3 linked regions of the Mytilus edulis genome follow. The main gene of each other region encodes a partner of the protein of the gene in region 2 in a complex. Links are inferred from orthologs where the notes say so. Each region holds a gene or a part of one and is shown on either strand. Other genes may lie near its edges.

Region 1 (11,348 bases), on a different chromosome or scaffold from region 2:
TACCGCGAACAACCCTAGCCTAACTAGGTCATGTGATTGAAAAAGATTCACATTGTCATAGGAAGGCTATTCAGTTCATTGGTGTACATCGAACATAAGCTGTACGGGTTGTATCATTCTCGAAAGATATACCATGGAAGTAATATAATGTAATACTTCTATGGATATACTAACTATTGAATAACCACATGTGTATAGTAAAAAATACGTCACAAATTTTGAGGTATGATTTTAATACCACCAGGTAGACAATTTTATTGGAACTGACCGTCGTCTTCTTTTCAATTCAAAGTACATTTGTTCCCTCCGTCTTGTTCTGTCAATGAAACCGTGCAGCCTCCACGACATAGCCAAGGGTGCCGGAAGTTACGTTAAACACCCTAACGTAATCAATCATTATTCTTTAATAATTTATTATTTTTGTTTCATTGTTTTTCATTGCAGCGGAGCAACAGTCTGTCCAGATGACAACACGTGGTCGAATAGAGCAAACACGTCATGAATATCATTGTGTATATAATACATCATGTCAACTTATAGAAGAGTGTAGACCAAGTCAAACAAATGATAGGATTAGGCTTTACTTTATTGAACGAAATACTGAAGCATTCAACATTAAGACAGTGGCTGTTATGTCAACAAATAATTCCAATTATCACAAACTGCAATATATAACTTTATTTAAGAATTGAATGCTTCTTTTTGTAAATTTATTGGGGTGTAAAAGCGTTGACCGAAGTACATTTTGTATGAAGCGCGGAAGCGCTTCATTCTAAAAATGTGCGCACGGTCAACGCTTTTACAACCCTATAAAGTTACAAAAAGAAGCATTCAATACTTATAATTGCATTTTTTAGCTATGATCATGAAAACACGAATTTTATATATTTTTTTATTTAATTCACCTGTGCCCTTTATTGTTGGACCACGTGTTATCATGAATGAAAAGTTGTATTGAGCATTGCAACTGCTTACGGAATAACACGTGATGTGCAGATAGCCAATCAGAATAAAGTGTTATAATGAAACATACATCTAATGTAATTATGTGAAAGTAATACGAGTCATGTTCAAAATTCATCGCCTACAAGGAAGAATGATAGTTATAAGCTATGCTGTATCACAGAATCTGTTATACTTATAGGGCTTTTAGTTATAGGAGTCGTGTGGAAATATAGACAAATGCAATATCAAGGCAGTGGCGTAGCTAGGTCATTTTGACGTGTACGCCCGAACCTTGGCAAGGAATCCAAGGATTCCAAAACGGGTCCATGTCAAACAATCGCTGTTGTGGTTTAGCTAGGAAGCAAAGCCACCGGAATCTAAAGAGTAATCGAGAATGGGTACCATTCCTGTCATCAAAGGCTCATCAGTAGCAACATAAATTAGAATCTAAATGGATTATTTGTTATGTTAAATTATTCATTTTTGTTAATTAGAAATATAATGGTCATTTGATTTAGAGAAAGTGTCAAAACCAGTAACTTTTAAAATAAATTATGTTTAAAATGAACCGTTGGGGTAAATCACTCAACCAACAAACACACCTATTTTATGTCAAAATTTCATAAATGAACATGTAAAAATTAATCTTCAGAGATGTTCAGGTGCAATATTAGATATGGTAAAGTGTTTTGTAGAACCCTGGTTCTCGTCTGGAATATTCCTCGCAAAAGTGAATCCAGTTATCAGTCCATTACAGGATTTAAAAAAAATCAAACATGTTCTTTAGATATTTTTTTTATCTAGAATATTACTTTTGACCCTAGTTTCATAACTGTCTATGCAGGGTTATGCATTTGTGAATTTAAAAAGCCATACAGTCTGTCAGTATAATATTGAAAAATGAATAAGCAAATTTACTTTCAAAATTGCTTAAAACAAAATTTGTAAAAAATTCTTGGATTCTGCTGAAGTTTCATTAATTAGATGAAGATTTGACAAAGAATTTGTTGTGTAAAAAATGTTAACCAAAGCCTATAACTATTAGTACCTGTTAATTTTGTTTGTAAAACACGGTAAACTGAACTGCATATAGTTTCAACATTATGCTGTCATTCGAAAATGAACAAATATACTATATGATACCATTGGCTGAAAAGTAAATTTTCCGCAATTACAAGCTAATGAAGAAAGAATTATAAAGCTGATGTGCTTCTTACTACTTCTTTTTATTATTTTTTTAGATTACATTATCATTTTCTCAAAATTCAAGTGTACGCCCGGGCGTTTTGACGTAAACGTAGCTACGCGCCTGCAAGAGAGTGAAGCAAGTACGAAATTAATAGCAAAAGACTGTGAGATAGCGAGATTTAAAAAAAGAAAATTGTGATTTAAAGGAACAATCAGTAAAGCTTGAAGAAGAGAAAAATCATATCGTGGAACAACTAGTACGGCTCAGAGATATGTGTGGAGAAAAGCCCGGCGTCGAAAATCGCTTTGCGCAAGAAAGTTCACCAGACGAACAGACATTTGGAGATTTTCGGGAAACTGACATCTTAATATCATAGTCTACATAGATAAAGTATTTCCGTATTTTCTACGAATTCTATGAATGGGAACAATTCTACGAAATCTATTGGGAACATTTTATGAAGAATTCGAAAAAAATCCAAACTGTTCATTAGATGGATTTTTAACTAAAGCAACTACTATTTGTATTCAATGTAAACATGCACGCCTATATCTGGGTTTTGTTTGTAAGTGTGTGTGTGTGTGTGTACTTTATGTCATAAACATGCATATATCTTGTATATATCTTGTTTGTAATCGTTATGAAATAAACTTGTCTCGATTATGACAGGTCACGAGTGCCATCTTCGGCTATGACAATCGCTGACTTTAAACTTGCTTATCAACATGACCAATCAGTTGACATTTTTGAATTAGAGTAAAGCCTGATCAGATTAGTGTGAGAAAAATATATTCAAAACGGTTTTCATTCCTGGCGCACTATAACTTAATATCTTTTAGAGTACATACACTCTAACTCTCTTTCATCTTGCAGTAGTATTAAAACATTTGACTTTTCTACACTTTACACAAGTATTCCACATTTCAAAATAAAAGACAAATTGGAAGAGTTGGTATTGATTTGTTTCATAAAAAAGAATGGCCAACGTAGATACAAGTATTTTGTCTTAGGGACTAACTCAGTCTGGGAGGGATAAATCCTACTTTGTAAAGGATTACTCTGATTCAAACAAAAAAATCTCTGAAACTTACATTATCAAGATGCTTGATTTTTGATTGACAGCATATTTGTTACGTTCGGAGGACGTATTTTCCAACAAACTGTCGGCATTCCAATGGGAACCAATTGTGCCCTCTTCTGCCGACTTGTTTCTTTATTATTATGAGGCTGACTTCATACAGGAACTTCGTAGGAAGAAAGATAAGAAGTTAGCAATATCCTTTAACTCTATTTTACGCTATATAGATGATGGTGGGGTTCGTGTTGCTTAGTCCTTAGTTTTCTATGTTGTGTCTTGTGTACTATTATTTGTCTGTTTGTCTTTTTCTTTTTTAGCTATGACATATTTTCAGTTTGTTTTCGATCTATAAGTTTGACTGACCCTCTGGTATATTTTGCCACTCTTTTTAAATTACTTGCTATTCACTTTTTTCTTTCGCAAAAACAAAAGCAGTTATAAGGATAATCAACTCTTTCAATTTGTCTTATAGTTTAGAATGGGGAATACTTGTGAAAAAGTGTAGAAAAGTCAAATGTTTTAATATACTATTGCAAGATGAAAGAGTCTTAGATTGTATGTACTCTAAAACATCATTTTTTTAGTATATCAACATCAATCTAATTGAAATAAAGATCTCTGCTTTCGTTGTACTACATATGCCTATAAAAGGGTGATTGAAAAATCACCAAAAAAGATGGATTTCGGAAATGAGTACTAGCCCAGCAATCTCCGTACAGCGCTCGTTTCCTTTCCGTATACTTACACTGTGTCTATACCACACCGGCAAAATTTGTTCGGACTAAATGCTATCTAACATCCGGCACAATGACGGAACATTAATAGACAGAAAAAAGCTAGGTTTCTCCTTATTTTCTTATTTTCTTTATGATATCGAAGAATATATATACATATACAACTATTTTCTAATGTGATATGCAATATTTTCTACAACCGTTCTATATTAACGGAGAAATAAGTAAAAATGCATGTCAAAATGACGAATTGAGTGAACCTTGCCTCGAAATTGTTTAATTTCTCGTTAACTTGTTCACATTGTACGGAAAGAATGGTACGAGAAGATAGATACTGACACGGAGATTGCAAAACTTGTTTTTATGAACATCTCAATACTTGTATTTCTGAGTATGGAACGAAAGAAATGGGTCATGTCAAAATGGAACTGGCCGGTTTCGTCAATATGTACCACCCGGTTTGGTCTTAGATTTTACAATGCATAACCCGGTTTGGTCAAATAAAAAAAATCATAATCGCATTGCATTATAATTGATAATTTAGCTTCAGTGTTAAAAAGGAGTTTTGTGACCGGGTAGTTGGAAAACAAGTTCTTTCACAGGACAACGGCTTATTATTTATATGATTAGTCTCAGATTCAAATAAAAAATAAGCAAACACTAAAATTCCTACTCTTATAGAAGACAAATAATTTTTATTTTATTTTGCATTCAAAAATTTTTAACAGCAGAATACATATAAATGAAGGTTATAACGCAAATTGAGGTTAAAGCTCTCAAATATGCGTTTTATATATGAATTATGGAAAATATGATAAGACAAATGTATATATGCATGCATAATCGAAATGGAAAATGAATGTTTATAGGAAGAAAAGGATTACAACTACCATGCATCAAAGGTGGGATCGGGGGAGGGGGGTGCAATATATACGTCTTCGAGATTCGCCACTTATATTATAAAGTGTATACCGAATTAAAATATTGTAAGAAATAAGAAAACAGGGACACCCGCGAAATCGGATTATGTGAGTCTGATTATGTTTATTATAAACATTCTCATTGATATTTTTAAACAAGCGACACTAATTGATTCGAATTCATAGCGTTTTGAACTACATGTATTTGTATAAAGCTGCATATGTCAAAAGTAAGAAGGTTTGACTGTAACATATACAAGTATGAAACACAGATCTAACGATTTTTTTCCCTATTTGTCATATGTCCATTGCCCTTGCCCTTGACCTCATTTTCTATATTATTTTTCCTTCGGCCACAGACCTTCACCATAAATTGAATTGCGACCATTTAAGCATTTGTGACATGTACACTTAAATATAAATAATATGTCTTATTTGTTTTATTGAGAAAAAAACGTCAGTGAAGCTATGTCCGATCCGGTTCGTGAAATTTGAAATTTTCAGTTGTTACACATTGTTTTTAAATTCAAGAACGGTGTAATTTTGTTTGGAATTCTTTAATTTAATTTTTTTCAATAATGAAATAATAGATAGAAATTATTATTTTCAAAAATATATATATAAGGCATATAGCAAAAATGACTTAGGAAGTCAAGAAGATATACAAATAAATCGACTTGGTCGATATCCTAATAAAACTTTTGACCTTTAATTAAGAGGTTTTTTTTCCATTTCATTGCGTTTTTACACGCCCGTCAAAATTTTGACAGGACGTATTATTTTGTATACATCCGTCCGTCCATCTGTTCTTCCTTCCTTCCATCCGTCCGTTCCTCCATCTATCAGTCATTCTGTCCGTCCGTCCGTCCGTCTATCTTTCCGTCCAGCGTAAACATGTCGCACCGTAACTTGAGAACAGCTTATCTAGTTTTCATGAAACTTAACAAAGTTATTTCTTGAAATGGTCAAACGAACTATAAACCTTTTAGTAAAAATCAAATGAAATCTTATTGAGTTACAGAACTTTGTAAGTAAAACAGGAGTGTGGTTTTTTTTAACATGTCGCGCCATATCTCAAAACGATTTATCATTATTGCATCAAACTTTACACACTTCTTAGTAATATAAATCTTAACTTCTGCATCTTCCCGTATCTTTCTTTCCGTACAATGTGAACAATTTAACGAAAAATTAAACAATTTTGAGGCAAGGTTCACTCAATTCGTTATTTTGACATGCATTTTTACTTATTTCTTCGTTAATATAGAACGGTTGTAGAAAATATTGCATATCACAATAGAAAATAGTTGTATATGTATATATATTCTTCGATATCATTAAAAAATAAGAAAATAAGGAGAAACCTATCTTTCTTCTGTCTATTGATGTTCCGTCATTGTGCCGGATGTTAGATACCATCGAGTCCGATCAAATTTTGCCGGTGTGGTTTAGACACAGTGACTTAGTACACTACAATACAATGACTTAGTGTAGTGATACGTAGTAAGTACGGAACGGATGTGAGCTCTGCGCCGGAGATTGCTAGCCCAGCAGTATATTATCCCCTCAAACATGTTTTGTACAAGATCGACAGAATGAAAAAAAAACGAATTATAATTGTTCTTTTTTTTTATTTTATCGACATTTTTTTCTTTTCCAAGAAATATTGTACAACAATACATTTAAATTATTCGGTTCTATAATGGTTAACGCCACAATTTTGACACTAGTACTCAAAGGACGAAATATTATTTGGGGCGAGTTTGTGTATAGGAATAAATAAAATATGTTTTGAGATTGTCCAGAAAGCGTTTCATTAACCCGGACTCTCCTTTTCCAAGATGGCTTCCAGAAAACACACGAGTTCTCCTGTACAATATGTTCAAATTGATGGTCTTGTACGTGTTCTAATTAATAGATTTCAATAATTAGTGTATGCTCATTAAATATAACTATTTAGCTTTTCAATAAAGCTTTGAATAGGTACCTTCTAATCTGGCGACGCAATTACATTAGTCTCACATCGTTTGTAGTGCCACAGGAAATTCATGATAAATTTCTGTCAATAAATATGATAAAAGTCTGTAAATAATAAAGTCGACTATTAGAAACGCTTCTCCTCTGTTTTTTTTTCATAGACTGCTATGTATGTTACAAATCAAAATAAGCCAGGCTTCCCAGAGTGTGACATTCTATTTTGTAGCCAGTACAAATACATTTTATATTTCTGTAAATTCTGACAATGTACTTATATTGATACACCTGGCACTTAAGTGTTAGTTGTTTAAATCCAATTGGTTGCCTCTGATTATTCAAAGAAATCAACATAGTTGAAAGAGTGTATGAGCACAGGAGTTTGAAATCCTATCAATAAGGGGGTCAAAATATACCAAAGTCGACTACCACAGTAGAGCTTCTCTCTCTCTTCGAGAGAAGCTCTACTGTGATAGTCGACTTTGGTATATTTTGACCCCCTTATTGATAGGATTTCAAACTCCTGTGGTATGAGTGGCCTCCTGTCTGTTTGAGATGTGCCCCATTCAATTACACTTTATTACATAGTTAGACTCGTAACGGGTAGAAGAAGAATGCCTTTACCATCAAGCATCAAATGGTTAATATTCAAAACATTCTACTTTTAATCTCATCAAGTTTGACAGAAGTTTGACATCTTGAACTATTTCGACCATCCAATGTTGATTTCCGGTTACTAGGATCTTCTATCTTCCTTTATGACTAACTATGATATCTAATTATAACCTAATTTGCTATTCATATGCAAGAAGGTAGAAGAATCATGTTACCGGAAATCAGTGTTGATTGGTCGAAATAGTTCAATATGTCAAACAGATTCTGCCAAACTTGATTAGATTAAAAGTAGAATGTATTAAATGTTGAAAAAAGTGGATTATCTTGACATATAAAGGTTGTTGATTCTAAAAAGGCACATGAAAATGTTGAAAAAAATGTTTATCTACCAGTGTGTATTGGTACGGATATCTGACAAATTTATACAAAATAAGCGAAAAATTAGTGCAAACAAATTGTCCACGATCTCCTGTTTTGGATTGGAACTGCTTTCTGTCTCTATACATGTATATTGCACACAAAAAAAAATAGAAAATAGCAAAATCAATAAAAAGCGAATGTAAATTAGTAAATATATGCATTATAGGGACAGAAGAATTTGGTCTAGAAGAATGCACAAGAATTTGAATGACTTTTCTGATCTGATGACTGAGTTCTTTATTACGAAGTTGATATATCCTTTTGTTTCCTGCACAGATTTATAACATTCATTGGGATGTATGTGTGAGATGGACCAACTGAGAATACATTCATATATTTTACTTTGTTGCATTTTAGGGTGTATTGAAGATAGTTAAGCATTGTCAAGAACACGTTCACATACATATATTTTACTATTTTACATTTTAGGGTGTATTGAAGATAGTTAAGCATTGTCAAGAACACGTTCACATACATATATTTTACTATTTTACATTTTAGGGTGTATTGAAGATAGTTAAGCATTGTCAAGAACACGTTCACATACATATATTTTACTATGTTACATTGTAGGTTGTATTGAAGATAGTTAAACATTGTCAAGAGGAAGCAGCTGGTGGAACAGATTTGGTCCAGGGTGTCTTGTTAGGTCTAGTCGTCGACAACAAGTTGGAAATCACAAATTGCTTTCCTTTCCCCAGGCATAATGATGAAGAAGAATTTAATGAAGGTAAGTAAAGATATTTTCTGTAGTTTACCTCATAGTTCCAGTGAAAGGAGTTGTTATTATGAAGTGTCTGTGGTTGTATGTGTCTATAATTTGTATCTCTATTGTAAATGTTTGAATAAAGCTGAAGTTGAGGCCACACCAAATTAATTAATAGTTCTTTGAGATTTTACCCAAAAAAAAATGGGGCGAGCGAGCGAAATTTAAATTTATATTTTTAAATTCTTCGCCTCAAATTTTAAAGAAATATGGAGCGAGTGATATTTTTTTTCTCTCAATTTTTATATCTTTTACCTAAAAGAAGCAACTGAATTTTCTACTCACTTAATTGAAAGGGGACATAATTTGATATAATTAAATTATCTCCCTTTTTATATGTATTTCAACTTTCTGCATTCTTTTTCATTTTGTTTTGTTGTTTGTATAATTAACACTGCACAAATATACACTTTTGAACATATTTTTTTATGCATGAACTTTATATGGCTATCTGCTTTTAATATGCACTGCTTTCATCTGTAGTATATGCACCTTCTGGTCCTTAGACACCCTCTGTAGTATGCTAGCTAGCTTCTTGTAACATAACTGCATGGTGTGTGTTTTGTGTTTATGCATATGGATCACATACCAGTTAATCCAAGCACAGTGGAAACTGGGGATCCTAGCTAGTGCTACTTTACAATTAAATATCAGAAAATAAATTACACCAAAACATACCAACATGGAAATACCTACATAACCTACATTTATAAGCCTATGTTATAACTAAGATTTCAACCAGATGCATCATGGAGTCTATAATCCTGCAATAGAAATGCATTTTTTTCATTTACAAAACATCCTGTGTTAAACAAGTTAACTTTCAATTTCACCCATCTTTAAAAATGGTATAAAATATCAAATTTTATCATTTTGTCAGTACCTTGTATTATTATAAAAAGGTACATATAAAAATGGAACAATATGGGGTATTTTAAAGTTTGAGAACTGCACAACATCCACCAGGAAAAATAACAAATGCAGAAAACCTCTTTACCTGTATCTAAAGTGTCTAGTGACCATCCTTGATCAATGTTTGAGGCCCAATCAATGATATCAGAGTAAAGTCTTTGTGGCCCAGAAAGCTGTTTCCCAGACAAGGGGACAGGTTTATCAGGCATGTGTAACTCATTTAGTGAGCTCATGAGTACCGAAAATGCATTAATTCCACTTGGTTTTGAATTTGATGCATCTTTAGTAGCAGTAGATCCATCATCAATTGTGAACTGCACATATTTAAAGTTTAGGTCATTACATATTGACCATACCATATTTTCGTCAGATATTTCGATACTAGAATCATCGAAACTGTTCGACTTACTTATTTGTATGGTTTTAATATTAATAATCTCACTTTGTGCATCGCTACATCGTTCAATGGCTTCTTGATATAGTTCCCTGAATGTCCGACATTTTGTTTGTGTTGCCGTATTTTTTAATATGTATGCCTTGTTGTTATTTTTGTCTGAATGTTTCACCACAGAAACAATCAGCACGTTTTCCATCTTTGCAACTTTTTTTATCAGAATCAAAAATATGCTTGACAAATGACAAACACTGCATATTTTCAAACGCTTAATTGATAAAGATTTTTTTTTAATACCGGAATCGAGTTCGTTGAAAATGCGGATTTATTTTCGACGTGCAGGAATTTTATTTTTATTTTTATTTTTTGGTTTTGGCAGGTGAGGTGCGGGAAATTTATTTTTATTTTTTTATTTTAATTTCGGCAATTTAGGTGTGGGTTTTCCAAAGAACTACTAATTAATTTGGTGTGGCCTGATGGTTAAAATTAATATCTTTATTATTATACCCTTGACAGCAAAGTCAAATGAAAGAAATCAACAATGTTTGAAAACTATATTCAGTTATGCCACAAACCATAAAACCTTGCAAAGAATTAATTCCTGCTAGGCTGCTAGGCCACCATAGCAAGGTTGGGCGGTATTTACCGCCCTGGACAATACTCTTCAAGTGGTCAATTAATACTGGCAAATACATATGTGTAACACATAAGCAAACGACAACCACTGAATTACAGGCTCCTCAGTGACTTGAATGTTCATTACCATGATAACATATATTAAATGTATTTTCATATTGAAATTGATAGAAAACAAAAATTTGGCAATTTTGGAAAAAGGGAGGAGGGATAAAAGAAAACATTTTCCTGTCCCCAGTACCTATGACTTTTGATACCTTTCCTGAAATTCTCCAGTCATTAAGTCTTTTACAAAATTCTTTCCTACGACAATTTACCTATTCTTTCAACCACGCTCTGAATGCCCGCGATTTCGCGGGTGTGTTCTAGTGATTTATAAATTAAGATATGATTTTTTTGAAAATAGTGTTTACAGGTAAATAAAACTTGAGGTAAATTAAGTTACAGGTGTCATATTACCTATCACCTGGCATTGCTAGGTGTGATAATTTAACTACTAAAACAACAGCCCCCAATGAATGATGACAAAACATGGGTTGAAAGTAATAAAAAGGATATTTGAAGATACTCATTAAGTTAAAAAATCAAATGTTTTTATCCTGTGTATTCAACTGTAAGACAAAAACCACCCTGCAGGAAATGAAGGAACTTTACTCTTATGCCTTTTATAATTTATGGTGTGAACAAAAAAATCTATTATTTGGTGTAATAAATTTTTACATACACATCTAGTTCAACCACCATGACTTTAAACTGAAACCGAAA
Region 2 (9,904 bases):
AAAATGTAAGGAACTATATCTTTGTCTACGACTTCACAATTTGTTTTGATCCAACGTAATCGACAACGTCTTGACAACGCCTCTTGTTGTATCACGTCAGACATGTCGGAGGAGTGAAATAACCACGTTTATTTCACATGTGAAATTATCGGTTTTTATTTCTATGGGAAATCAATGTAATCCATTTCAACCATAATTCATTGCAACCAATGTAATATTACAATTTAACACTGAACTAAGGCCATGGGGATGTCTCAATGTTAAAAGGTTACTATCATTAATAAGTTAAAACAGTCAGACTACAAATTTATGGTAAAATGCCTTACAGAAAAATTACTTTGGGTTTGTTAGAAATGTAAATTTACCAATCTGTACTCTCAAAATGAGGACCAAATTTACAAAGATTAATGATAATTCATGTGTTTTACTATTCTTCTTGATGTAAACAGAAGTATAATTTGAGGATACAGTTGACATCAATACTCCACACTGCACCATTATGTCCTCTGAATGATCCTAATCTCTCTCCATTTAGGGAGTACCATACATTGGGCTGGTTATCTTTAGCACTTGAAAATATCAAGTCACCTTCTCTGTTGTATTTAATACAGGTGATTGATCTCTCGTGTCCGTGTAATAAAATTGGCTTCTGTAAATAGAAAAAAAATATTCCCTTGAATTTGACAGTTGTAGGAAATTTTACAACATTTCATTGCAGTAAAAAAAAAATCTGTGTCCTAGACATTCATCTTTGGTTTTTCAAAGCACCATTATCTATCCATTTTTTATTTGGTGTTTCTATAAAATATTTTGGAAACTTGAGGTTACATGGTTACTACAGCTTGTACACAGGAAGAAAAGAAACATAGCGAGATTTTTTTTCTATAGAACTGGACAAGATAAAACTTTACTCATGCCAAGTATTTCTTTATTAGAACAAAGATAAATTCTGTAAAATTTTTGAAAAGTGCAAATTTAACAAAGACTAATAGGGGAAAATCAAAAGCGGTATTACACCTGTACAAATGTATTCATGCCAATTCTTCATCTAAACTTCTGAGTTTTGGAAAATCATGGTTACTCATGTTGTATATAGCTACGGGTTTCACAATGTTAATTTCAACTTGAAGCAAATATGCAGTGATGCTATCCATGCCAGATATGTAACATTGTACATTTACAAAGTTGTGCCAAAAACCGCTAAAGTAATCTATTGAGTTTCTTGTTTGTGGACTCAAAAGTGAAGCTTGAAGGCTGACACTTTTCTATATGACTAAGATTGCTTTGTATAGTGATATTATTGCCTTTTTTCAAAACTACCTATACCATATTTATTGTGGAAAATGCATTATTTTTACTGAAATTTTATTGAAATTGGGAAATTTGTTTATTTCAGAAACTGTAATATTTTTTCTGTAGAAATAACATCAAAAATGTGGTGCACACTAAATAGACCAAGAATTTGTAGACAGAACAAATATTACAGTCATTCCTTATAATTTTATTAAAGTAAAACATGACAAACACATGAAACATTCATGACGTCACGGTCACTTGACAAAATTATGACCATTAGCTGATAGACGCAACATTGTCCTCGCAAACATAAGACGTGATGCATCCAAAATTGAATTATTTTTATGACCTTTGCTGTCTTTTTTGCAGTTCAATTAGGCCTAATAAAACCCTTTGAACTAAGTTAACCTATTCAGTATTTTACTTTATTAGATGACTCTTTATTTTGAAACAATCAAAAACTATCTGTATCTGTATGGGTACGTCGTAGTTACCAATTCTGGCTTTTATACAACGGGAGTGAAGGCACTGTCGATTTACTGACTTTTCGTGAGAGCAGATTTAAAGCTCTCTACACTTGTTGCGCAAACAATAGTGTCTTCTTGATGGTTCCAATTTACTATTGTGGACACAAAGAATGAATTTGAATGTTGCAGTGTTTTACTGGTAGGAATGTCAAAACACCTGGTATTATTCCTCACTTGTTTTTCAACTGTTTGTGGCTTGACAGTTGTCAAACATTTTAGCTGTCTTGGTCTTGCTGATTTGAGGAAGTCGTCTGGATCAATAGCAGGTAGCAGCCCCTCAACCACCTTGTACAAAAATATAAGCTTGTGCGTCTCAATTGCAATTCCTGTAGCTCTAATTTTGTAAGCATGTTTGTTATGCAGCCATCTTCTCTAGTTCTATAGTCACCTGTGATAAAGCGTGCTGCTGGTCTTTGTATTTGTTCTGGCTTGTTTGAGTCTGCTATACTGTAGGGGTCCCATACTGTTGATGCATATTCCATTGTTGATCTTACTAGAGAAATGTAAGCAGTTTTCTTACATTCCTGTGGACAGTATGGTGTAAATTTCTTCTGAGGAAGCCTAGGGTTGAATTTGCCGTTTTAGCAACGTTAGTTATGTGCGTGCTCCACTTCACGTCTTCTGATATCTGCACTCCTAGGTTTTGGTTGCTCTGAACTTGATGGAGTATGTGGCCGTTGAGTGTATAGAATCTCTGGCTTTTGTTCTTTATGCTTAGTATGTACTTGTAGCACTTTTTTGCGTTAAATCGCATACCCCATTTATTTGCCCACTATATATATGACTAAGACTAAGTTAAAGACAATAGTAAATACCAATAAAAGCACTGTGCTTAAACGGCTGTGGGTAACTTAAGTTACCCACAGCCCAAGATGGCGGACTCTAAACTCGTTGATATTTAATTCATACAAAATGTACCTTTTGCGACGTTTTTCATGCAGAATGTAAATATTTATAGGATTATTGAATAAAGAAATGACTAACAATTACCATAAATTTGTTAATATAGAGTTCACTAAAGCGCAAGGTCAACTTTAAAAAATACATAAGATGTCCGTAACTTTTTGATCGAAACTAAGCAGACTGTCCGTAACTTTATTTTTAGATGTGGGTAACTTTTGATTTAAAATTTTAAGAATTATAATTTCAACAATTAGAAGACAATAAACATCATATTTGTAACCTTCGCGGCCGTTTATACTACTCATTCACCACCAAATGTGATTTTATTAACGCATCATACTTACACCACAGACGTTTTATGTGGGGTTTGTGGTACTCCATCCTGGTTATGGTTTGAACTTTTATTTACTGATGTGCGTCTTATCGACGTTTTTCGCTTGTCAGACCAAGGCTTTTCCATACTCTTTAATGTTTTGAGTTTAATTATATGTTTGCAGTTTGTCTTCACCTCTGTTTCTTTCTATGTGTATTTTGATGAATACTCTTTGACGCGGCTCGGTATTTATACATCCCACCAGTTAGTTATAGTGTTATGATTTTTTGAATATGTTTCCTAGTATGTTTTTTTTCTCTCTTTGTATGTCATCAGGGGTTGTTAGACTATTAAATTACCCTGTTTTCCTACGTAGTTATTTATATTTTTATATACTATGTCGAATTGTTACACTATGATGACTGCTCTTTTCCTTTTATTGTCACTGACTTTTACCTATTGTGTCTTTTAGTTTTATTCAGTTTAATGAGATTTAATGCAACTTGCATACAAATGAAATATGCAGCTAGCTGTAAAACTAGGTTTATTCATTTATACAAAATGTCCTTTTTTAAAGTTTTCCCATTTACTGTAAATCTTGGCCAGGGTGCCGCAATATCACCGTGCGCAACGTCCCAGTGTGTCCAGATTGACACCCCTTTTATTTTACTGTCAATGCTGATGGGATTTGTTTTTGTGGGGATGAGAGAAAAGTGTTTTTGGCTTTTTCAAAAAGACGGAAAAAGTTTGTGCACTTAAGTTTCGTATAGTCTATCCACTGCACGCCTGGGCAATTTGGGTTCCCCTCCAAAATCCCGGATTCACGCTACCCTTGTCGTTGCTGGCAGAAAATCAGTAAGTGTATACATGCTACATGTATGTGTAAAAAATACTTGTGTAGTCTACTTGTTCAAAAATAAAAACGAACAATGATGTTTCAACAGTTTATCTGCTATGATCGGAAACAACCCTCCGAACTAGGCGATTCGGGTACCCCGACGTTATACAAAATGAGACCCGAGTTTTACGGATTTATCGTGATTTTTTTCATATTTTTCCCAATTTTGTCTTTCATCGATACAATGAATTATATCATACTAGACATCTACTTCGTTTTGTGAATATGTATTCGATGGAATCTCTATCATCAGTTTAAACATTACATCCGCGTATGTCGATTCTTTGAAAGTTACGGACATCTCTATTGGTATGATGAAAAAAGTTACGGACAAGTTGTTTTGAAGTTACGGACAGCCTAAGTGTTTTTTAAAATCGTGCTGTGATCGTTTATTTTGGTGAATTTAATCACCTTTCCAGTTTAGGGGTTTCCCTAAACGATTAATACAACTTTTAAATTCAGTTGTTTAATTGATGCATTCGTGGTATTGTTATTATATAGAAGAAAAGTATCTAACCGACGCAAGGCGGCTCCATCTTGGGCTGTGGGTAACTTAACCACAGCCGTTTAAGCACAGTGAAAAGGGTGCGAACGTGAAAGGGGTCTAACGTTATTTGGAGAAACGTACCCGGCATGTTGACAGTTTAAAAATGTAGAAATTTGCCATCTGGTCTCGTTTTTTTGGGAATAAATCCAATAAACTTGAAAATATTCCTTGGTACATAGCTTATTGGTATACTTTTATATGTATGTGTTTCATAAACAACAGTGAAAAATACTTTTCACTTATTATTCTTACCATTCTATTTGTTTTATTGTGAAATTCGTGTATAAACTTTCATGACAGCACGTTGACCGGAAATAAATCTGATTGGAGAAAGGGTTAAAACCTGTCATTCATGTTTGAGAACAGCTCCGTACTGTAGGCGTTATAGTTTTCATTTCTTCTACCATAAACCTGATAAATCAGTTTAACTTTTATATAATTCTTTGTCAATCACAAAGTTAATTTGAATACGAATATGATAACGACAACATTAACACACCAGTTCAACTGTGATTTATTATTGTGACTATTACATGTATTATTGTGTCTGTTTAGTTAACGCATCAATGTACTGAATATTACGGTATTTGATGAGACTGTCATCAAAGTGAGAGGGTTAGCGCTATAAAAAGAGGTTTAATCCACCATTTTCTACATTTGAAAATGCCTGTACCAAGTCAGGAATATGACAGTTCTTGTCCATTCGTTTTTGATGCGTTTTGTTATTTGATTTTGCCATGTGATTATAGACTTTCCGAATTGATTTTCCTCTAAGTTCAGTATTTTTGTCATTTTACTTTTTAATATCAATCAAGAAGCATATAAGAACAAAAAATGAGAAGAACAGAATATAGAAACAAACAATATAGATACATAGTTACAATAACTTTTACTCAGACATAACAAAAATACTTATCATAACACTAGCATATTTAGTAAATTATCCAATTCGGCTCAGTTTTGAAGCCTGCCGGTGCAGTCTTCAACGCTTATTGAAATGATTATGCATGATAATGTAACACATCGAAAAATTGATACTTTTTGCTAACAAAATCAAAGAGAACAATCCTATTAGATTAAGCAATATAGTTTTCACATGGTAATGGAATATGATACATTAGGTATTTTACATCTAATCTTTATGGGAATATGATTCTTTATAAAGCACAAAAATGTCGGCAACCACCCCAAAAGCTAACCAAATCTTTAAACAGATTTATTTAGAAGATATATAGTTACAAAACTGTTGTCAGTTTATTAATGGCATGTTTTGGTATTAATATTGATTTACTCATAGGGTCTTTGCATTCGAAATAACTGACACATTTATTCAAAAACCAGTTCAGTGTTGACATAATACGGGTTTTACAAGTTCTCGTATATTTTATAGATATAGGAAGATGTGGTGTGAGTGCCAATGAGACAACTCTCCATCCAAATAACAATTTATAAAAATAAACCATTATATGTCAATTTACGGCCTTCAACACGGAGCCTTGGCTCACACCGAACAACGTAGCTACAGTACGGTCATATCAGATAAGATAAATTTTATTTTCCAAATTAGGTCCCCAGGGGGGCATATACACATAACATATATAATTGATACAATATACAGTATTTTACATAACATTTTAAAATAAACTATTGAAATAGTCATACAGGTATTATTTGTCAAATAAAAAGTATTTGAGAGTTGCTACTCCAGAGATGTGGCAAACCCCATTTATTTATTTACTTTTTTTCTCTCACTTTATTTTATAATATTTTGCTGAAAATGTATAAATATAAAATAAATGATTGTTTAGCTGCAACAGACACCAAGGGACGATGCTCTAGGATTGTGATCTTAAAAGCTCTAACAATCCTCCTCGTATCTGATGCAGAAAAACAAACACAAATGAAAAAAGTTCATGTATATTCACAGCAATTAATAACATAAACTGCAGTAAACAGGTATTGAGAATAGTGTAGGTTTCCCTACTGCAACAGACACCAAGGGGTGGTACTCAATGAGCTGTTGTATTTACACAGTCCTCCTGGTGTCTGAAGCAGACAAGAAAGCCACATAATTAACAATTTTTCGAAATAAATTTACATGCAGCAGTGAAAATAGACTTATCTTCTGTGTTCATAAGCCATATCAGTTTATCTCTTGCGTTAAGAGTTGAAAAGTTGGGGCAACTTTTAGTTATCTCTTGAAATAGATGATTGCGGTCATCATTAAATTTAACACATTGGAATAAAAAATGATATTCATCCTCCACACCTCCGGAGTTACAACGAGTACAAGTTCTGTCATTTTGGAGAGTACCCTGATACCTTCCGGACTCAATTCTTAAGTGGTGTGATGAAATTCTGAGCTTTGTTAAGCTTCGTCTCTGTTCAAAATTCCCAATAATGGAAAGATAGTGTTCTCTTCCAAAAATTGATGTAAATGTAACATAAGTTCTAAGTTTACCATCTGAATGCTTTACCAATTCAGTGTTCCACAAGTCTATAAAATATGATTTTAATTTTTTTTCATATTAGCTTTGAAGCTATTAATTTTTGGTAATGGTGAAGATAGATAATTTATGTCTGGGATCATTTCAAGAATTGATTTCATAGAGCCATACCAAGATGGGTTTTTTTTAATGAGAAAGATTCTGTGATGTAACATAAGCATCTTTAAGAAGAGAAAATCGGGAATCAAGATTTTCCAAGCGATACCAGTAATCTAACATGGATTTAATCATATCATAATAAAGTGGGAATCGTCCTAGCTCGGATAAAATTTCCAAATTCATGGATTTGTTATGAACACCTAAAACAAGTTTACAAAATATATATATGACCGTATGTAGCTAAACCTCTTACGGGAGGTATTGTACTTGATGTAAATAGGATGAAGACAACATCTTTTAATCAGTTTAATTAAGGTCTGCAGCTGGTATGTTATTAACTGTTCATAGTCCTTTGTTAATTTTTATCATTATCATTTTTCTTAGTTTCTTTTGTTACCTATTCCTGAGACTATTATAAAATCTTAGCTTATTCTGACATCAGACTCGGACAGTTTTACTGTGTGTATTGCTATGTGTTTGTTTTCTCTTCATTTGCTAGGGGTATAGGGGGAGTGTTGAAACTTGAAATCTCACTAAACATGTTTAACCCCGCCGCATCTTTGCGCCTGTCTCAAGTCAAGAGCGTATGTCTTGTATCATTTCTAATTTTTTTTCATATTAGTTTGGAATTTAGTATGACGTCAATTTTCACTGAACTAGTTTTGTTTAGGGGACAACTAAAGCCCCTTTTTGGGTGCGGGATTTTATCGCTGTGTGAAAACTGTCCCCTTTAATTGTTGTCGTAGTCTGTTTTCTGCTCTATGGCCGGGTTGTTGTCTCTTTGACATATTCCCCATTTCCATTCTCAATTTTATTCTCTCATTTCTAGGAATATTTGAAAAACGACCAACCTTAAAGCAGATCTTCGTTATTTACATATGTTGATATTCTGAAACAAAATTTATTAACCAAACAAAGATAGTTTTTAACCAAAATATCATTTGAGCATTAATAATTGAAGATATAGTTCCCATTAGTAGTATTGTATATATACATATTTACGTTTATACTGCTGAATTGTCAGTACAAATTAATGAGTTACTCACAAATTTACTACATATATATTTTAGTACTGTCTAAAGTTTTCAAATTCTTTTGAATTTAAAACAAAAAATCTGATAGTTTTTTACAATTGAGTACCGTTATTTTACTGATATATGTTGTAAATCTGGTCAGTGACGAAAACATAGAATAAAAGGCTGGTGATACCTTTCACAAAAACAGTAAAAGATCAGGGGCGGATGCAGGAATTTTCGAAAAGGGGGGGGGGGTGCTAACCCAGGGCAAAGGGGGGTGCAGGGGGGTGCAAAACATATGTCCCGATACAAATGCATTGATCGGCAAAAATAAAGGGGGGGTGCGCACCCCCGGAACCCCCCCCCCCCCCTGGATCCGCCACTGAATATCGTTTCATCTCGGCCGCTAATAAGTGTTCTGCAACTAATCGTTCAGTGCAAGTTTTAACTAGTTTTTAAAAGTTTTAATTTCTGACAAATTGCAAAAGAAACATTGCTTACGGTTAGCGGGCCGGCAACTGAAATGACACACTAAGAAACGCGCGTCTGGCGTATATACTAAATTTAGTCCTGGTATCTATGATGAGTTTATTATCAAGTACGTACGACCATACAAATTCATCGTTGCAGTCTACACGATGTTAAACAGTTCAGAATGTAAGTGTTAAAATAAAGCGGACTCATGTTTTTAAAGGGGCATTAGCTGCCAAATTCATGTTCAACGATTTGACTCAATTCCTCAAATTTAATTTATAAAATACTAAAACGTATATATCCAAATTACAATAAGTCTGAATTAAGCAGTTGACAAATCATGTACTCGATAATGTATATCAGAATTTCATGTCTATTTTAGTTTAGACGCCATCTAAATAACTGCCGAGATGACCCTCGAATACTCCCGACATTCACATCACCCGATATAAACATAAACCTAAATCTAAATAGATTGCGACCTCGTCACGGTAATTGGATTTTTATAGGTCTATTTAATTTCATGTTATAGGTTAAACAAATAAGTTAATAAGAAACCTATGTTTCACTTCAATGTTGACATTCTTTTCCTTTTATAAATGACTGAACACGACTTATGCATGCGTAACCAATCTTCATCAGCGATATTTCGTTGTTTATTTTGACAAAAATGTAGCGTCAAATTTGCTGCCAAAAACGAATCATTATTTCATTATTTCACTTTTATGAACGATTGAACCAAACATAATCATATTCTATTTTTTTCAAATCTCGTAGCTAGTGCTTTTTAGAAATGTTTCAAAGTCTAACAATAGGCGAGACATTACCAAATTGTTGAGCAATGATGCATGTTTATCATAAATTTACGCCTAAACATTGATATTATAGTTTTATGAGGGTCACGATCACCAGTCCAGTAGTCAGCAATTCTGTATTGACATGACTTATCATTAATATGGTCATAATTATTATACAAAAGTTAAACTTTAAATTTTGGAAATAATAAGGCTTTTGCATCTCAGGAATACATATCTTACCTGTATTTGGCAAAACTTTTGGGGATTTTGGGTTCTCAATGCTATTTAACTTCGTATTTTTGGGGCATTTTTTAACTTTCTTTTTTTTTTTATATATTCGAGCGTCGATGACGAATCTTTTGCGTCTCATGGCGTACAAATTTCTCTGTATCTTTGATGAGTTTATTCACAGCCACTTCTAGTGATTTTTTTTGTTTAGGCAGCAACCATTTGATTTTCTGGGGGGGGGGGGGGGGGGGGGGGCTATGGTTTTTTTTGGAAAAAAAGTTTGTTTCCAGTTTTTGGAG
Region 3 (10,762 bases), on a different chromosome or scaffold from region 2:
TTATTAGTTTGTTTCAATTTTGATCTGTAAATTTTGTTGTCTTGCCTCTACCATTTCGATTTTAATTTCTATGTATCCCTATATTTCTTTCGTTCTTTCTTACCTCATCATTTTGAACAAACTGCATGAGGATTTCTTCTACTTGTACTATAGTATTGGCAGGGTTAGGGCCTGGTGGATCCTTCTCTGCTGATCCAAACTTCCTCCAATTCTGTAAACAAGTTGTAAATTATGTTAATTTCAAAAGAGTAAAACAAGATGTACTATGAATGCTACCCTAGGCCTAAATTAAAATATTGTTTGTTTCCCCAATCCCGACCCTGCCAAGCCAGGTGTGGGTAGGTAGGGAAATAATTTTATTTTTCCAAAAAGCTTGACATTATCGGACGATCCGGCAAGCCTGAAAATCCAAAATGAATAAAATAATTTTTCACTTAGTTTTGACAATAAAATTTTATGAGTAGCACCAATTTTGCAGGGTCGGTCGGGATTGGGGAAACAAACAATATTTTATTTTAGGCCCTACTATAAGTATTTGGTTAACAGTTAATGAGCAATAGATGTGGAAAAGCTTCTTACACTGTTTCATTGTACAGCATGCTCACATAATGCATTAGGGGTGTGATACCAAATTTTAGAATGCTCTCATTGTTAATCTGCTTCATGAACAAAATATTATAATTCCATCTGATAGATGGAAAGAAGTAAGCAACACACCCTCTTTCCATTCATCCCAGGGATATTAATTACAATCTAGGAAATATTCTTATCTGTTTATTTACAATCAACTTTGTTACTCAGGCAAAATTAAAAGCTATGAATGTGATACATAATATAAGTATCTAATTTTGTCAGCAATGGGCGATGAATGGATCTCAAAATTAACACAATCAATTAAACCGTAACAAACATATACCTTTCTTCTAGCAATTGATTTTGGGACTTTTCTTCTTTCAATCCTGTATGTCTTAATAATCTACAAGTAAAAAAAAAGCAAAAATATTACCAATTATTACAGTCTCAGAATTAATTAAAACTTTAACTTGTCTATTTCTGCAAGTCAAAATGTGCTTTTATTTGGTGAAATCAATTTTTGAATTGTACAAGTTGGTTTTTTTCTTCTTCTGCTGGTTATTTATTATCAGTCTTTATATGCATTGCCTTTAAAATAAAGTCCTTGATACTTAATCTTTGATCAATTATATTGTTTGCATGACCTTTGAAATAATCTACTGTGACTATTTTTCACTTGTAAACTATAGTTCAATTTTTATACTAATCTGTTAATTTGTCCTTTTTGGTTTTCTATGGTTGATTGTTTCTATTTAGATTTCAATTATGTTCTATCTTAACACAACTTAAATATACTGTCTCTGGTTTAACCACAAAGTTGAACAAAATCAATTTACCATAACCATGTTCAGATTTGCACAAGAAACAAATGGTCTAAATATTTACTATTTTCTCCACATTTTTACATTTAATAACTGATAACATTTTGCTAATGTTTCATGTGGGATTTATCAAAACATTTCAGCACTTGTCAAAACTGTTTTTCAAATGCTGTTTAAAACTTGGAAGAATTTACAATGTTATGATTAATGTCCATGGCCAGTGGCCTCATTTATTATAATCAAGCATAACCTAAATACTGGTGAAATGCGTGTCAGCATGGTTATTGGTTCTACATGTTAAACAGGATTACTGACCTTGACAGTTTTACCATCTTCATTGTACTTGTATTCTGTGATTACTTTGATGCCTTTGTTTTCATCAATGGTCTCTGTAGAAGGTGGCAGAACTCCTGAAAATAAATCATCTGAATTATCATTTGGGTCATTTATTTTTGAACAAAGTTTTGTCTTTTAATGTAAATAAACATGTTTAACAAGTTTGAAGTCAGGAGCCTATAGTTCAGTGGTTAAATTGCTTATATCCTCTCCATTTGAACTCTGGTGGATAGTTGTCTCATCAGCAATCATATCACATCACCTTATTTTATATGTATATATTTTTCTAGCCTCATTTTCAGAAAAACATAAGAGACGTTTGGAATGGTGCGTCAATTTTCTTTTTTGCAGACAAAATCTGAGAAATTTTCATATGGTCTCCATGGAAAGTGATGTCCCAACATGTTTTATTCATGGTGCCCCATGTCCATCAAATTATCCTTAACGATTTTCTACGATGTAATCCAACATGGTTAAATTTTCACTGTAAGTGTTGCTGTTGAGTTTCACGCTCAGTTTATTTATTTATTTTCCTGACCACATGGAACTTTTCCTTAATCACAAGGTAAGTCTAGAGCAATAATTTATAGCAGAAGATAGGTTACCATAAAGTACAGAAAACTGAATTACATCAATGACACAATTATCAACTATTGGAGAATAACTGAATGTTATGTACTTAAAGATTCTCATTGAAACCATGATGGTGGATTAAATATGGACAATGGATTAGAAATTTTAAAGTCTGCAGAGTTATACTGTGCAACCACACTAAAAATAAATGTGGAATCTGTACATGACACACAGAAAGTGCCCCATTTGCATATCATATAAAGTTATAAAGGGACATAACTGAAGAACAGTAAAAGTGACCCTACTAGAATGTGTACTTGAATGTGTTTTGTGGTTATAAGTATTGTGTATAAGTTTCATAACATGTGGTAAAGGCAATCTTATATTAAGTTTTTAGAAAACAGAAATAAAAATTCAACATTTATTCCATTTGTAAAGGGATGAGTTTAGAACACTATAAGTGAACCCACCAAATTTCAAACTTGATCTGTATTATGCGGTAATAAGCAATGTGTAAAAGTTTCATAACATTTGTTTAAGGCTGACTTCAGTACATTGTTCATAGCATTTGGTTGAGGCAAACTAACATGACTAAAGTTTTAGAAATGCAGCATAAAATTCAGCGTATATTTACATTTGTAATTAAAGGGGCACAACTGTAGATCGTTTATAGTGACTCCACCAAAAATTCAAAATTGATCTGTGTTTTGTGTAGTCAGAGATTACTCTGACGTCCAACGGCTGGTTTGCCAGACAAGCTGGGGCCATTGGACGTCAGAGCTCGTCCCATATCAAAAAGTGGATATTTGCCCACCCAAAATAGATGCCCTGCTTCGTCGCTTCTGGTGCCGACTGACGGCCTTGGAATTACATAAATCGGGCATCAATCTGTTCATTTTTCATTTATCTTTTCATTTATGTAAGTTTTACCTACCTGCCAACCTTTATTTTTCCATATTTTAACAGTTTTCACCGAGACCCATCGTCTTTCAAGGCTATTTTTTCCAGGACACCTTTCTATCATGAAGGTGTCCCAGATTACAGCAGACGCCATAAACTTTTATTTGGACTAGTTTGGAAAGAACATAATGAAAGCAATTGGTATTTTAGAAATTTTTCAACTAAAAACCTGATGCTATTCAAACATGACAGCATCTATAATATTGACAGTGCTCTAGCTAGAAATCAAAAGAGGCAGGGTGCCAGTGGAGGGCAGGGCACTTTTTATGATAAGAAAAGGCTCTGCAAATTTTTTTGTCTACGTTTCTGTGTGTATCACGAGTTAACGAATCTCTTTTTTTTTACTGTATATGTTGGTTTTTTTTAAATAAAGATGCATTTTAACTATAGTCTTTATTTCATTGTTTGTGTAGTTATGAATTATATAGTACATCTCTAAGTTTCTGTGTATTACTAATTTATCAATGTTTAGAACATGGATTGCTAAAAGTATAATTATCAAACAGAAATTGCAATATATTTTTTTTAATATGTTCAAAGACAGTTAATATCCTTAAGGTAACATTATTATGTTATTATATATTCAATTGGTTCTTTATTCCTTTTTTTGATACTAGATAATATTTTTAGAGCACAAATTTGTAATAAGCTAAAACAGGGGAAGTAACTCCAAAATTAAATTCCAACACGTTTGCGTTAATTAAAAACTGTGCTTGTCGCTAACAAGTTGAGATGGAAGGCATTTCTGTGAAGGCATAGTTTTATTTTGATGACTTAAATTCAATTCTAAAGTCATGAAAGTCTTCATTTATACACTCTTCCATTGTGACTTGGAAATCGAAAATGACGACCCAAGCTAAACACACTAAGCTAAACACACTCGCTGACACATTCATCAAATGTATGACAAAAAGATACATTGTCCTAATTAAATTACCTAGATATTAACACCTTTGAAGTCTTTATCATTGTAATTGATTGTAATGACATGATTAACCTGGGGGCAATCACACTAGTGTCATATATGTAATTAACTTGGAGATCAGAAATCAATGAAACAAAAGGCAATTTTACCAAAACGGCACAAGAGAATTTTGGAAAAAAGACATCAGGACAGAAGGGCGCGGATGAAGGCACCCAGGGCGCGGCTGAGTGCACCCAGGGCGCGGCGCCCTTCTATTTCAGGCTAGCGAGACCACTGATTGATGTATGCACTATCCATGCTATCTGTGGCTAATTTATGTAGACCATTGATTGACACCGACAGTGATCATGTGACTATAACTTATAATGAAAAAAGTATACTCCATAGGCAACCACCCTTTTAAATTTATAAACGATACAAGACAATGAGACCAAACAGAACCTTCTGGTTTATTTACTCCCTTTAGTATATGATCAGAATGAAAGCAGCTGGAACATATGATAAGATGACAATATGTCAAAGGCGCCTTACCATCTTCTCCTTGCTCTACCTGTTCGGCCCAACTGAATCCTTTCGGCCTAAAATAGAAAAGAAGTTATAGAGTTTATCAAGGTTAGGGAGTCTTTCAGATTTGAAAATAGTAGACTATCATATAGTAATTTTAAGCCAAACATACTCTGCGTCTATTGACGGCATGCTTCTTGACTTATTTGACACTTCCGGTTAAATGGGCAAAACTAAATGATAACATTATCTCGTCCCAAGTTGCTTTTGAGACGTTTCGGCCACAATACCAGTTCGTCCATAGGTCATTTCGGCACATTACCAGTTTGACACCTGTTGATTCGGCCATATTTTTTCATATTTTTCATAATCATTATTTTGGTTATAGAAATTTGTTTTGGAAATTTTACTTGACAAAAAGAAAATTGTTCAAATGAAAAAGATAATTGATATTTGAGTAAAAATGCATCATATAAAAACAAGAGAAAACTGTTGAAATTGATCATAACACTTGTATATGTGTCTGATAATAAGAATTAATAAGAATTTGTAGACTGTTTGATATTTTCTAAACAATGACTTGACAAAAGCATAATATTATGACTTCTAAAGATAAATCAACGGAATGATAATTAAAAACAAATGATCAGAGGGCACACCCGCAGCCAGGGGTGTTCGATGGGTTCTGTTTTAATTGCAACTGTTAAAGTTAAGTATGATTGTATCGAAAGAGACCGTGGTTGATCCTCTAGTGTGGCCAATACGTCCTGCATCACTCACGTTTAATGGCTTTCATTTATTATGTACACGCAAGCTTAAAAATCGAGCATTTTGAACTGATGATTGTTTCTATACTATGTCTAGCGGCAAAACATTTCCCAACTCTTCAAATAAACAAATAAAGATCTATTTCGTGTCAGAACAGACATAAAAATATATGTGAAAAAATGAAAACTAGTTAAATTACGATAAAAAAAAAGAAGACAAAAAACACATAAAGCACCGATCTTATCTGACATGAATATAAAAACAAGAAGGGGTACAATTTCTCAATGAGGCAACTATCCATCAAATTAAACGGCATGATTTATGAAATATTTTTTCTCGTATCGTATCGTATGTGAAACAATTTAATGGTGCAAATCAACGGCAGGGTCTGAATGTGGTTAGAAGAGTCGAGAATAATTAGCAAAATACAGAATTAATGGCCAAAAAGATAAATGCGGGATTGTCTCGCTGTGCCCATTGGTAGCCTCGTTTTCTGCGTTTTCAGTTGGGTTGTTGTCTCTTTGACACATTCCTCGTTTCCATTCTTAATTTTATTGTAAATATACTAGAGAAAATAGAAGGAAAAAATCACACAATCTATAGTTTCCGGCATAACGCACAACACATAACGCCCAAAAATGGATAATAATCACCATTCAACATCTACATCTCCGTTTTATCCATGCAATATGGCTTCGTGTATTTTATACATTTGTCCAAGCTAAAGAAGGTTCCAAGTGATTGTGTAATAGCCGTGGGAGCGATTGAACAGGGCGTCAATGAAATATCAGGCTTTGAGATAATGAATTTATTTCAACTTTTACTGTGGCAATGGCATTTTAACTTGAAGAGAAATGTATCAGAAAAGGAACACTATAGTAAAAATGTATGTATAGCAACGATGTTTTTTTTTTAATGTTTTTGATATGATTTTGTCACTGTTGTTTGACAATTTTGAACAATTTACTCGAAGCTCTTTCATTTTAAGGAACCCGTATGGATATATATTGATTTTTTACTATTTCATTGGTCCATATTTACACGTAACGTGACGGTACCCAAATTGCACCTATTTTGACTGTTTTTTCACCTACGTTTTTTTATGATCATGAAAAAAATGCCCATACTGTGTGTATTTTGTAGCCCTATCCTTCTTTATTGTATAGGTACACCAATTTAATTTTGAATCCATATTGAGTCATAAAAAAATGGGTTTGAATCAACCTCCAAACTGTCCATGATTCTGTAATGAGGAGTACCCAAATTGCATCCATGCTTTATAAATTCACATCGTCAAAAGTCTGATAACCGAGCTTTTGTTTAATTTCTTCAAATATTTTGAACAATTGGATATTAGTCCATGCTTACTCTTCATATTTTACGAAATGGATACTTATGATATTGTATTTGGTAATTTTAGGAAGATGACGCTTTGATGACGTCGCATGATGACGTTTTCGTACATTTTGCTTTTTCAGTAAACAGTCCATCTGTTGATTATCACTGTGAACGTTTTGTGTATATCTAAATATGTTTACCTATGTTAAAAGACGTATATAGTATCAAATCATAAAAATACAAAGTGATTAGTCTCTAGGAAATCTTGTAGGATTTCTGTTGCTATTTTTTCTAAATAGGTGCAATTTGGGTACTCGGTGCAATTTGGGTACCCTTACGTTAGAATGTTTTCTTTATAACAGTTGAGTTCATCATACAATGTCCCATCCAACAACTTGTTAGTTTTTCGAATTGATATTCTCCCGAGCGACTATACTTTAAATATATTGATAGAATAAACATGATTACGGTCCATGCAGTTTTGTTTAAACACTTATGTTTGAGTGATAAAAATCAACGACCAGGGTCTAACAGGGTTGTTTACAGAATAGAGAATAATGAGCAAAAAATACAGAATCAAGGGGGAAATATTTAGGCAGGATTTTCTTGCTGTGTTGAAGACCATGCAAGTCTCTTAGACACATTCCTCGTTTCCATTCTCAATTTTATTGTAAATATACAAGAGAAAATAGAAGGAAACAAATATCCTTCAATCTATTGTTTTCGGCCAAAGCTCTATTTTTCAGCATAACACTCAAGAATTGATAAAAATCATCATTCGTTATTACGTTTTATCCATGTAATGACATATATGTTCGTGTATCACTAAACACAAAATGCATCGAAACAAGGTCATAATATGGTAGCTCAGTTTTCGATGAAACAAAAAAAAAAAACTCATTTAGTTATGTTTGCATACACAAACAAGCTGTAGAATATTATTAATTCATTTTTTCTATAAAAATTGATTGATTTCAAATTGGTCTGAAATTTAAAATTTACATTTTATGAATTGAATCCGTGAACCCGGTTTATTTTGGCTACTTTACACCACTGATTACTATATTATGAGTTGTTTGATTGACTGTCTACTTGTGACAATCACTTTATATTTTCTCTTTGCAGAATTTGTTAATATTGTTTTTATTTTATTTATTATTTATATTTATCATATACTTAGCATTAATATGATAGCTTTTGCATATGTGTAACGAACGGAAGTACACAAGCCATAATTTCCCACCCAGGCTGATAACCCATATCAGCCCGGTCTGATAACCCATATCAGGGGCGTCTCGTGCAAAAACCCATAACAGTGCTTCTCGTGCAAGTTACTTCCGGTGTTTCCGGTATCGGTTGTTTATTTTTTCCATTGTGACGTCAGATATTGATGACGACGTCAAAATTTACGGGAACAGTTTTGTGGGGATAGTTTAGTACTTACTAACAAATACCATTGGCAATTATGAATCATTTTATAGTACAACAAACATGGAGTAATAATGATAATGAAACTCTTCCAACTACTCAATGTTTCAAAATGCCTCTATAGGAAATGTTACCATAAAATGTACATATACTTTTAGAGTTAAATTAGGGGTTCGACAAGGTGATAACCTAAGCCCTAATCTTTTCAAAATTTTTATAAATGACTTTCCATCATATATTGATAATGTTGATGATGATCTGATTTTGGGTGATACTAATATTAATTGTTTAATGTATGCTGATGATATTGTTTTGCTCTCTACCACATCATATGGTCTTCAATCTAAGTTAAAAAATGTTGATAAGTTTTGCTCTGACTGGTGCTTAAACATAAACACCAATAAAACAAAAATTTTAGTATTTAATAAGCAAGGTAGACTTATCAATGAAAAATTTACTCTTCAGCAAGTTGAACTGGAATGTGTACAGCACTACAAGTATTTAGGCCTTATATTTTCGGCTTCAGGTGTCTTCTCTCATGCAAGACAGGAATTGTACAAAAAGAGTCTAAAAGGCTATTATAAATTATGCAAAGATGTTATTCGTTCACATCCAAAAATTACTACCAGTCTACATCTATTTGATCACATGATCAAACCTATTTCTTTATATTCCTCTGAAATTTGGGGTACATTTAACCCAAAGAGTAGTAAATTTAGAAATGATATAGTCTTAGATAAAATTTATTCAGATCTTGAACCAGATAAATTACACATGAAAATAACAAAATTTATTTTGGGTGTAAACAGAAAGAGCAGCAATTTTGCTGTACTCTCTGAACTAGGTAGATTTCCTATTTATATTAGTATTGTGAAAAATCTACTGAATTATTATTTTAGAATTGAAAATATGCCTGAGGACTCTTTATTATATAAAGCCTTACAAACCTCTAAAGATTTAGATGATAAAAATCACAATAGTTGGTATAGCAGTGTCAGACACTTATGTAAAATTATTGACCTGCCTAGTAACTTCATTAATTTTAGTAAATACAAATTCAGAAAATGTTTACTTAATTGTTTAAAAGTATCCTATGTCAAATCTTGGGAAAATGCTTATAGCCAAAATAGCCAAGGAAAACTAAGAACATATTGTCAGTTTAAAACATCATTTTGTAAAGAAAATTATTTAAATATCTTGAAAAATTTTGATTTGAGAAAAGCTATCACAAAATTCAGGATTTCATCTCATAGACTTAAAATTGAAACTGGGAGATATTCCAAATTAGAAGTTCATCAAAGAATTTGTGATAAATGCGATTTAAATAAAGTGGAAGATGAACTTCATTTTCTTATAGAATGTCCTGTATACTCTAAGGATAGAGACATGTTATTTGATCTGATATTTAAAGAATGTAAAAATTTTTACTCCTTGGATATGGTCAATAAATTTATTTGGCTATTAAACTGTGAGTCTATTAATATTTTAAAACAACTTGGCTATTTCTTATCAAAACACCTGCCTTGAGTAAACATTTATAATATAACACTGGGATACTGTAAGTAATATTTAAAATGTCTAACTTTTTAAAGCATACTGTTTTGTTGTTTTGCTTTATTGTATTTGTAATTGTTTGTAACTATATATTGTCATGAATGTATATGCACTATGCCCCTTGAGGGTACCTCTTTATGGAAATAAAAGATATTCTATTCTATATGTATATGGAGGTAGTGATGCTGTTGGTTGCATTGACAGTTGTAGTATATTGGATTTATAACTTAACTTCTTTATAAAGTTTTTGACTGTTTTAGTTGTTGCATTTGTGTTTTTTTTTTTTTGCCTTACATAAAACTATTGTCGGAAGTATATGATAAAGCGATTAATACATGGCCTTTTCCATATCAGCCTGGGTATCATCCCTCGACCCATATCAGCGCCTCGACTCCGTCTCGGGCTGATATGGGGGTCTCTGGATGATACCCAGGCTGATATGGAAAAGGCCATGTATTAATCTCTATAGAAATACAGAGGGAAAACTTAAGACTATATATACTGTATAGGACTTGGTGTTCACTAAATACGAGAGTTAAAACGATATATAGATCCTTTTTAGAATCATTGTATTTGAATTCCCCGGAATCTATTTGAGTAGCTGTTGATTGAATAAAGGGGTGCACGCTAATGAAACAAATTAAAGCGTCAACCGAACGATATAAATATACACATGACCTAAGGGTTAACCCATAAGAAAGATTAATATTATTCTGAAAAGTGCGGGGAAATCAGGAAATTTAAGTTAAACTTCAAATATATAACAAAGGGAAGAAGACACATCTTGACTATGACAATACAAACTGTACAACAAAAGAGATTCTTTTTGAAATATTTGGGTGGCCCTTAAAAGGGCCTTTGGTTTGTGTTGTTTCTGGAAATAAAATCTATTTCTTTGCAGCTTTCTTGGTGGCCTTCTTTTTTGGTGACTTCCTGGCCTTCTTCTTTGGAGACTTTCTTGCTGGTTTCTTGGCAGCCTTTT

Evidence for each region.
Region 1: eukaryotic translation initiation factor 3 subunit I-like (region 2) and eukaryotic translation initiation factor 3 subunit H-A-like share a complex: the UniProt entries of both Caenorhabditis elegans proteins name them as parts of the eukaryotic translation initiation factor 3 (eIF-3) complex. The link is inferred for Mytilus edulis from reciprocal best matches to the Caenorhabditis elegans genes eif-3.I and eif-3.H.
Region 3: eukaryotic translation initiation factor 3 subunit I-like (region 2) and eukaryotic translation initiation factor 3 subunit G-like share a complex: the UniProt entries of both Caenorhabditis elegans proteins name them as parts of the eukaryotic translation initiation factor 3 (eIF-3) complex. The link is inferred for Mytilus edulis from reciprocal best matches to the Caenorhabditis elegans genes eif-3.I and eif-3.G.

Annotation. Positions count from the first base shown.
Region 1 is NC_092353.1:8,918,037-8,929,384, reverse strand, and holds the start of eukaryotic translation initiation factor 3 subunit H-A-like, read left to right. Parts: upstream 1-6,632; 5' UTR 6,633-6,707; coding exon 6,708-6,764; intron 6,765-8,448; coding exon 8,449-8,605; intron 8,606-11,348. UniProt on the Caenorhabditis elegans protein: Component of the eukaryotic translation initiation factor 3 (eIF-3) complex, which is involved in protein synthesis of a specialized repertoire of mRNAs and, together with other initiation factors, stimulates binding of mRNA and methionyl-tRNAi to the 40S ribosome.
Region 2 is NC_092344.1:35,623,181-35,633,084, forward strand, and holds the start of eukaryotic translation initiation factor 3 subunit I-like, read right to left. Parts: upstream 4,868-9,904; 5' UTR 4,740-4,867; coding exon 4,737-4,739; intron 650-4,736; coding exon 469-649; intron 1-468. UniProt on the Caenorhabditis elegans protein: Component of the eukaryotic translation initiation factor 3 (eIF-3) complex, which is involved in protein synthesis of a specialized repertoire of mRNAs and, together with other initiation factors, stimulates binding of mRNA and methionyl-tRNAi to the 40S ribosome.
Region 3 is NC_092345.1:11,398,266-11,409,027, forward strand, and holds the start of eukaryotic translation initiation factor 3 subunit G-like, read right to left. Parts: upstream 4,977-10,762; 5' UTR 4,885-4,976; coding exon 4,865-4,884; intron 4,767-4,864; coding exon 4,720-4,766; intron 1,805-4,719; coding exon 1,710-1,804; intron 977-1,709; coding exon 917-976; intron 212-916; coding exon 104-211; intron 1-103. Other genes in the region: sperm-specific protein PHI-2B/PHI-3, read right to left, coding at 10,668-10,762. UniProt on the Caenorhabditis elegans protein: RNA-binding component of the eukaryotic translation initiation factor 3 (eIF-3) complex, which is involved in protein synthesis of a specialized repertoire of mRNAs and, together with other initiation factors, stimulates binding of mRNA and methionyl-tRNAi to the 40S ribosome.